2 linked regions of the Mus musculus genome follow. The protein of the gene in region 2 purifies or fractionates together with the protein of the main gene of each other region. This does not show direct contact. Links are inferred from orthologs where the notes say so. Each region holds a gene or a part of one and is shown on either strand. Other genes may lie near its edges.

Region 1 (4,535 bases), on a different chromosome or scaffold from region 2:
ACAGCCATTGTGAAATCTCTAAGTTATCACAAGCAGGCACTCTACTCTGGCTGTACAGGGTATAGGTGGAACCCAAGGGAGAGATTACCCACACTGCAACTGGGTGACAGGCCAACTTTGGAATAAGAAGGCAAATAAGGGGCTGGTGAGATGGCTCAGTGGGTAAGAGCACCCGACTGCTCTTCCGAAGGTCCGGAGTTCAAATCCCAGCAACCACATGGTGGCTCACAACCATCTGTAACAAGATCTGATGCCCTCTTCTGGAGTGTCTGAAGACAGCTACAATGTACTTACATATAATAAATAAATAAATCTTAAAAAAAAAAAAAAACTATAAAAAAAAAAAGAAGGCAAATAAATAACTTTAAGATTATGAAAAGTCAGGGCCTGAGAGATGGCTCAGTGTAAGAACTCTCAAACAGGATGTCAAGTTTAGTCCCAGTGCCCGGCCCAGGGAGCTCACAACTGCCATAACCCCAGCTCCAGAGGGATCCACGGGCTCTTAAACACATATGTCCATACCCTCCATACATGTGCATTCATTAAACTAAAATTTAACAATGTTAGGGGTGGGGTAGGTTGAGACAGGCTCTCTACATAAACCTGGATGGCCGTCTTAGAGATCATTAAGTAGACCAAGTTGGCCTTGAAATCAGAGATCCATCTTCTGCCTCCCAAGTGCGGGATTAAAAGGTGTGTGCCACCACGCCCAGAATAAACAAACAAACAAACTTAACTATATATATTTAAAAGCCAATCTCAGCCGGGTGTGGTGGTGTACGCCTTTAATCCCAGTGCCTGGGAGGCAGAGGCAGGTGGATTTCTGAGTTCGAGGCCAGCCTGGTCTACACAGAGAAACCCTGTCTCGAAAAACAAACAAACAAAAAGCCAATCTCTGGCCAGATAGACTGCTCAAAAATTAAAGTGCTTGCATGAGTTTAAGCCTTGGGACCCACATGGCAGGAGAAAAGAAGCAACTCCCAATACTCTTCTTCTATGTCACACTCACACTCACACACACACACACACACACACACACACACACACACACACACACACACAGAGTTCTTCTATGTGTCCGCCCCCACCACAACTCTAAGTAAATTTTGTTGTTTTTAAAGACAGGGTTTCTTGTGTAGTACTGGCTATCCTGGAATTTGCTGTTAGATCAGGTTGTCATGGAACTCAAGAGACCCACCTGCCTATGGCTCCCAAGTGCTGGGATTAAAGAATGCACCATTAACAACAGGGTAATAAAATAATGATGATGATGATTTAAAAAAAAAAAGCGGGCGTGGTGGTGGACCCCTTTAATTTCAGCACTCGGGAGGCAGAGGCAGGTGGATTTCTGAGTTGGAGGCCAGCCTGGTCTACAAAGTGAGTTCCAGGACAGCCAGGGCTACACAGAGAAACCCTGTCTCGAAAAAACCAAAACAAACAAAAAAGATTTATTCATTATTTGTTTTTAAGATGGGGTCCCACTACTTAGCCTTGGTTGTGTAGACCAGGCTGGCCTAAGGCGCACAGAGATCTGTTTATCTTTGCTTCTCGAGTACTAAGTTTAAAGATATCACCACACCTGGCCAGAATAAAATTTCTAAGCAAAGCTTGTGCTGCCTCTGCCCCCATGCCTCAGCCTCCCGAGTGCTGGCATTTCAGACATTCGCAACCACACTCAACCCTAAAATGGAAATCACTGCCCAGCTCCTAAGCAAGGATGAGGGGTGGAACAGCTGGATTTTAGTGTTTTAGTCAAATCAGATTCTACATAGAAACTAGTGTCTGGGTCTACAATTAAATGTAAAAAGTAAAGTTTGGGAGCCCTGATGAAGCAAGTCCAAAGACAAAGAATAGACTGTGGAATCTCTTGATGCTACGTTTAAAGTCTCAAAGCCAAGAAACGCGCACATTTTCAAACTGCAGAAATCTATTTCAACTACTCCCCAGTCGCCCTGTAAAGCAACCTCACAGTAATCTAAAATTTTATGTTTATGCTACCTGCATCTGGGTTTGCATACCAAATGTGCCTAATGCCCTCAAGGGCCATAATGGGGTGCTGGAGTTATTGGAACAGGAGTTAGAGGGTGGTGAGTTGCCATGTGGGTGTGGAAAATCGAACCCGGGTTCTCTGTTAAGAACAAGCTTGTGCTCTTAACTGTGGAAACATCTCTCCGGTCACTGAGCCTCATTTCGGTTATGAGACAGAATCCGTATAGTGGCGCAGGCTCGCAATTTCCAGTTTTTGGGAGGTGCGCCCTCCTGGGTTCTAAGCCAACCTCGGCTAAATGGGCAAGCTCTAATCCTGAGGAACGTGAGAGCATCTCAAAGACGAACATCCCAACCCTCAGATCTACGCGAGGGATCCGCTGGGAGATTTGCTGGCCGCAGGGCCGGAGGTTCCCCTCGGGTATCCCGGTCACGCCCCCTCCCCCCCGCCCCCATAGGAACCATCCCGTGTCTGGCGGCCCGGCCCGGCCCAGCACTCGCCGGCTCGGCCCAGCTCGCGGTCCCGGCTTCGCCTGCATCGCTTACCCATCACCTGGACCCTGCAGATGGCACAGGTATCGCACTCAACGTCCCAGCTCCACATGGCTACCGCGTTCCACTTCTTGAGAGAGAACATCTTGTCGCCTCCCGACTTGGAGCCTGCGCTCCCGGAGTGCGAAGAAAGGACGCAGGGTTCCTCGCCGTCCTCCACGTCGGCCATGGCGGCGGCGCAGAACGGCGACGCGGACGTTGGGCGCGGAGGCGGGAGGTACGGTGGCTCAGCGGGGCCACAACACACGCCACGGAGCCTCCCGCAGGCACGGGCGGGCGGGCGGAGCCAGACGGCGATGATTGGATGGCGCGCGCCAGTGACGTCACGAGGGGCTGGGCAAGGCCTGTACAGAGAACCCCAGCGCTTGCTAAAGTGGCCAAAGGCCAGTTGCTGTAGGGCAGGCCCGGGTCAGTAAGCGAGCATTGTCTGGAGTTACATTGTATTAAACTCGGGGGAGTCTCAGAAATCACATCGTCCCTGTCTTCATTTGTCTCCTTTCTCCCAAATGTAAAACTATCAAGAGTAGGGACAGAATTCTCATCACTGTAACCTCCGTATCTTACAAAATGGTTGGCCTTGAATTCAGATTCATTTATTTATTTATTTATTTATTTATTTATTTATTTATTTATTTATTTATTTTTGGTTTTTCGGCAGCCGGGCGTGGTAGCTCACACCTTTAATCCCAGCACTCGGGAGGCAGAGGCAGGCGGATTTCTGAGTTCAAGGCCAGCCTGGTTACAAAGTGCGTTCCAGGACAGCCAGGGCTATACAGAGAAACCCTGTCTCGCAACAAGCAAGCAAGCAAGCAAGCAAGCAAACAAACAAAATATATGTTTTTTTAAACTTTATTTTATGTGCATTGCTGTGAGGTGTCAGATTCCTTGGAAAGGACCTGGAGTTACAGACAGTTGTGATCTGCCATGGAGGTGCTGAGGATTGAACCCCGGTCGTTTGGAAGAACAGACCATGGTTTTAACCACTGAGTCATCCCTCCAGACACTACATTTGTTTGTTTGTTTGTTTGTTTGTTATTGTTCTCAGGTGACAGAGAATAGGTAAGCAGAAGGGCAAGAACGCAATGCTTAAGCAAATGTGTGCTGGGGAGAAAGCAGAGTGAGCCAGCCAGGGAAGGGCCAGGCAGTGGGCCCCTGGGACTGTGGTTAGGTCCCTCCCACCAGGCTTTGTCTCAGATCACTTGGCCAGCATTGAAGGAAAGCTTGGATGAAAAAGCAAAACAAATGTTCCTGCCTCGTGCTCAGCTCACGTCCACCGCCATCCTTCAGGCTACTCTTACCAACGGGGGTGGTGGTGTCCATCCTTACCGGTTAAGCCAATTAGAAGTATATGGGGCAGTGGCCGTGCACACCTTACTCTGAGCACTTGGGAGACAGCAGCAGGTGGATCCTTGTGAGTTATAAGGCCAGCCTGGTCTACAAATCAAGTTTCGGGCAACCAAGGCTACACAGAGAAGCCTTGTCTCGAAAAACAAAAACAAACAAAAAAGTACGAGTCCTTTATTCGTGCAGGACCAAATTCCGGCGCATGCCTCAGAGTCTCTTGGTGTCGCAGCTCAGGGATACGGTGTTTCTAAAGGCAAACCCCACAAAGACCACAACTCACATGAAAGTCAGATGACAGAACAATCTTGAAACGTTCATTTCTGACAGAACATGGTGATTTTTTTTTCCAGACGTAACATGAAAGTTACTTTTGACTTGTGCCTTCTTCAGTTATTTTAGTTTACATTAATTATTTTGGTTTATACATCGGGACCATGGTCCAGGCCACAGAAGTCCCAAATGTGCTGGGAGGGTAGATGTGGGCATGGAGGTGGGTGAGGAGAGGACTGAGAAGTGCCTAAGCCAATGCACAGGGAGTCGGGACAAGATGGCACAAGATGGCGTTTCTGTGGTCACTTCCTCTGCGGGAGAGTCTTTATTCCTTTGTTGAGAACACTGGGAGAGAGATGCTTGGTTTTGTTTTAGAGACTTCC
Region 2 (3,807 bases):
GTCCCACAGTTGGTGGGAACAGCTTTGGCAGTGCACAGGCACAGTTGTGCCTGAGCCTTTCCACACCAAATCAGCCCCTGGAACATTCTGGAACAAACTAGCAGTGGCTGTCCCAGAATTTAGTTCTTCCCTCGTTCTTTTTCTAGGAATTAGGTTCTGCCGGCTGAAAGGCATGGAGAGACAGCAACAAGAGGCAGGGGCAGGAACAGGGAGAGGCCTGTCCACCCCACCCCTACCCCGAACCCAATTCTCCACACCACTCCACCCACCCCCGCCGCAACACAGTGATTTTAACTGTGTTTGTGGCGACCATTACATGGCCTGCCCTCTTCACCAAGGGAGAGAGCCCTGTACCCTGCTGGCCCTTCAGAGATGGTCCTCACCTTGCTGCAGGACTTTCAGGCAGCCCAGCTGGCCATAGTAGGCAGCCTCGTGGAGCGGCAGCCAGCCCTCCTTGTTGGGCTCTGCAAGATTCTTCCCATCCTGGATCATGATCTTCAAGGCCTCTTCATCCCCTTCCTTGATGGCCTTCAGCACGGGGTCCATAGCCCTGTGAGAGCAAGCAGCAGCCAGTTCTCAGCTGCGTGCAGAGGCAGGGCCGGGTGGCCTGGGTCCTGCTGGAGGGCAGGAGCCAGTGTCTGCTCTGAGGTCTCTCCTTCTTCGTATTCAGCTTGTTCTGGGCCTAATGCTTGTGCCCTCTAGCTCACTGGATGCAAGCAAATCAGGGTGGGAGCCCAGCAGGCCCGAGACTTTCTGTGGCTGAAGCTAACGTCACACCCAAACTGTTTCTACCAGGGAGAGATTGCTAACACTGCTTACACTCCGGCACAGATTGCTAACACTGCTTACACTCCGGCACAGATTGCTAACACTGGCTTAGAACTGCAGAGAAATCTTCAGTAACTAGGGACCTTCCCAAAAGAGGGCCCTCTGATTTGTACCACGCACAGCTACCTACAGGGTTGAACGCTAGCAAGAGCTCCCAAAGGCAAGGGCCTGCCAAGGTCCCTCCCTTCCCTGTTACCCCAGCCTTCCTGTCTCCCCATCTCCCCATCGAATCCATTATCCCTACTCCCAGCTGCTGCGAAATGACAATACTTGAAGGATTAATAAATTAGAATCCTTCACAGTTTAAAATTTCTAAATGTCAAAAGATTTCAAGGCCACAGTGGGGGGCATCTTTGTCTGGCTCCTTGAAGGCATTTTTTTTTTTCATCTATCCATTTACTTTTCTGTCTGTTCTCTGCAATCTCTTTCCCTTTGTCCCCTGCTACCAAGTCAGTAAGGACCATGACTGTCTGGGATCCTGGGATCAGGAGCTAGGATGGGTTTAGGGGGAATCTCTAGGACCAACCCCCAAATGTTCCCAGCTGCTTCCTCCAGCATGTGACACTTCCTCCTGCATCTCAGCCTCGGGGTTATTAATAGTAGATACGGGGTGAAGCCAGAGACCCAACAAGGACAAGCGACTGACCAGCTAGATCTTGAAGGTCCATCAACACCATCATAGCCACCTGCTTGAGAGCCACTCAGGAGCAGCAGGACCAACCCCCATCAGTCTCAGGGAGGGGCCCATTGGGTATGTGGCTGAAGTGTGTGTGTGTGTGGGGGGGGGTGGGCTGGCTGGTCCTGTGGCCTTGGTGAGGGGAGGTTCCCACTATGTAAAACTTGCTGTCAGGACCCACCAGCCAGAGTGGGTCTCCCTAGCTGGGATTCACAGATCCTGGGGCTCTCAGCATCACACACACTAACAGCTTCTCCATGAGCCCAGACAAAGTCCCCACCCTAAAGAGAGAAAGGCTGCCAGGCATGTTAAACCACCAAGGACTAGAAGCAAGCTGCACAGGGCCTTGGAAGACAACTTTGTCTTCCCCAAGGCCTGCCTAGCAGAGAAGAGAGACTCGGGGGCAGGCCCTCCTATGGCATACACTCGAGGGTAGGTAGTTGTACTGAGATTAGAACTGGGACTTTCTTTTTTCTCAGCCTCAAAGCCCCTGGTGGCCATAGGGCTTGGGAAGGCTGAGAGTGAGAACTGGCCAGCTGTATCCTCCTCTCTGCCACACAGAAATAGGGTACCAGCAAAGGGCCCCCATTTTTAAACTGCTTTTAGGGACACTCCGAGTCAGAGCAAGGAAGGAGGTACAAATGTCCCATTAGCTCCATATCCCAGGCAGAACCCTCTCCTTTGGCCCCGGTTAATTGATTAGTACCGGGCTTTGGCACCTGGTTCTTAAATGAAGTGTTGTGGGTGGGGATTTAGATGTGCACAGATGAAGCCCTGGAGGTGGCATGGGGAGACACAAGACAGGGATGAATAGAAGTGAAAGCCAACTCCTCACCACCACCCCCCAACACACACCCCAGCCCTTTGAACCTCTCCCTCCCCAGATTCAGAGACCCACGGAACTCCTCCAGCAGCAGGGTCACAACCTCTGAGAAGATCTGAGGGGTCAGTCCCAAGCACAGCCCAAATGCCACTCCTAGCGGGCATCAGGCTATGTCCCCTGTGTCTAGTTCAGTAGGAGCACTAGAATCTAGACTCTAGACACAGCAGGAAGGAGATCTAGGGCTGCAAAGCCTCTCCCTGCTGCCTCAGCTGGAGGTGTGAGCAGGGTGGTCTTGGAGCCAGGTGGGGGGGTCGATCACTTACGCCATCTGGGAGGTCTTGAACAGGTTGCTGCTATACTTCTGCATGACCCCTTGGAACAGACCCAGGGGTGCGCGGGCCGGTGGGTTCTCGGGAGACGAAGGGGACCTGGAAGGTGCAGAGCCAGAGTGAAACAGAGCAAAGTACTCTGCATAAGAGAAGCGAGTCATGCTGGAGCCAGTAAGGAGGATGGAGGGTGAGCTGCGAGCCGGGAGGAAGAGTCTAAGTGACAGACAGACACAGGGCTCTGAACCAAAGCAGATGGCCGGGCCCTCTCTGTGTGCTGGACACAGCTGCTGTGTCTCTGGATTATTTTTGGCCCTTGGAGGAAGCCCTTGGAGATTTAAATGACCATATAAGACAACAATGAGGTTAACCTCACCCCCGCCCCCACCGCCCCCCTCCCCAGCCAACCACAAGGGTGCAGATATGAAGCAAGGTGACATTCTTCACCAGGGAGGATGTGAGAAGCGGTCGCTGGGTGGCAGGCGTCAGGATGAAAGGCCATGGGGGGACCTCAGTGGGGCTGGAGAAGAGATTCCTGGACAAGCAAGGGAACAGGAGAGCCAGTCTGAGAAGCCAAGACACGTGGACCCTCCACATCACCTTGCTGGCTTCACTTACGAGGACTGTGTACCCCATAGCCCTCTGGGGACCCAGTAGTCTAGAGGGTACAGCGAAAGGGTGTGTAAGGAAGGTCAGACAGGGATTTAAACCCAGATGCTGTCACTCGTGTGACCTGCAGGCAATCTCATTTTCCATGCATTTTACTTCTCCTACCTGTGTAGTAGGAAGAGAGCAGCCCCTGTCTCAAGTGCCAGTGTGAAATGCTTAGCTGTCTTGTGGAGCACAGTGTTCCTCAAAGGCTCATGTATTGAAGGCTTGTCCCAGTTCAGTAGCGTGCTATGGTGTGCCTTGGGGAAGTGACAGGGATCAAGAGGGCTCTGTTCTCAGCCTTGGATCCAGATCCACTTACTACTTCAAAACTGGATGGTGTGAAGGGTAGCTTTAATTGTCAATTTGACTCAGCCTGGAATCAGTTGGAAAGAGAATCTCAATTCGATTGGCTAAATTGGGTTGGCCCTCTGGGCATGTCTGTGGGTGCTGTCTTAAGTCATACTGATCTGTGAAGACCAGGTCTACTGTGGGTGGCACCAATT

Evidence for each region.
Region 1: the proteins of Asb2 (region 2) and Rnf7 purify together in Homo sapiens (affinity purification with western blotting; 3 studies listed by BioGRID and IntAct, with this or other methods). This does not show direct contact. The link is inferred for Mus musculus from reciprocal best matches to the Homo sapiens genes ASB2 and RNF7.

The regions. Positions count from the first base shown.
Region 1 is NC_000075.6:96,475,876-96,480,410, forward strand, and holds the start of Rnf7 (RING-box protein 2), read right to left. Parts: upstream 2,801-4,535; 5' UTR 2,708-2,800; coding exon 2,533-2,707; intron 1-2,532. UniProt on the Homo sapiens protein: Catalytic component of multiple cullin-5-RING E3 ubiquitin-protein ligase complexes (ECS complexes), which mediate the ubiquitination and subsequent proteasomal degradation of target proteins.
Region 2 is NC_000078.6:103,335,427-103,339,233, forward strand, and holds part of Asb2 (ankyrin repeat and SOCS box protein 2), read right to left. Parts: intron 2,965-3,807; exon of another isoform or gene 2,818-2,964; coding exon of another isoform or gene 2,756-2,817; coding exon 2,651-2,755; intron 1,580-2,650; exon of another isoform or gene 1,447-1,579; intron 551-1,446; coding exon 384-550; intron 1-383. UniProt on the Homo sapiens protein: Substrate-recognition component of a SCF-like ECS (Elongin-Cullin-SOCS-box protein) E3 ubiquitin-protein ligase complex which mediates the ubiquitination and subsequent proteasomal degradation of target proteins.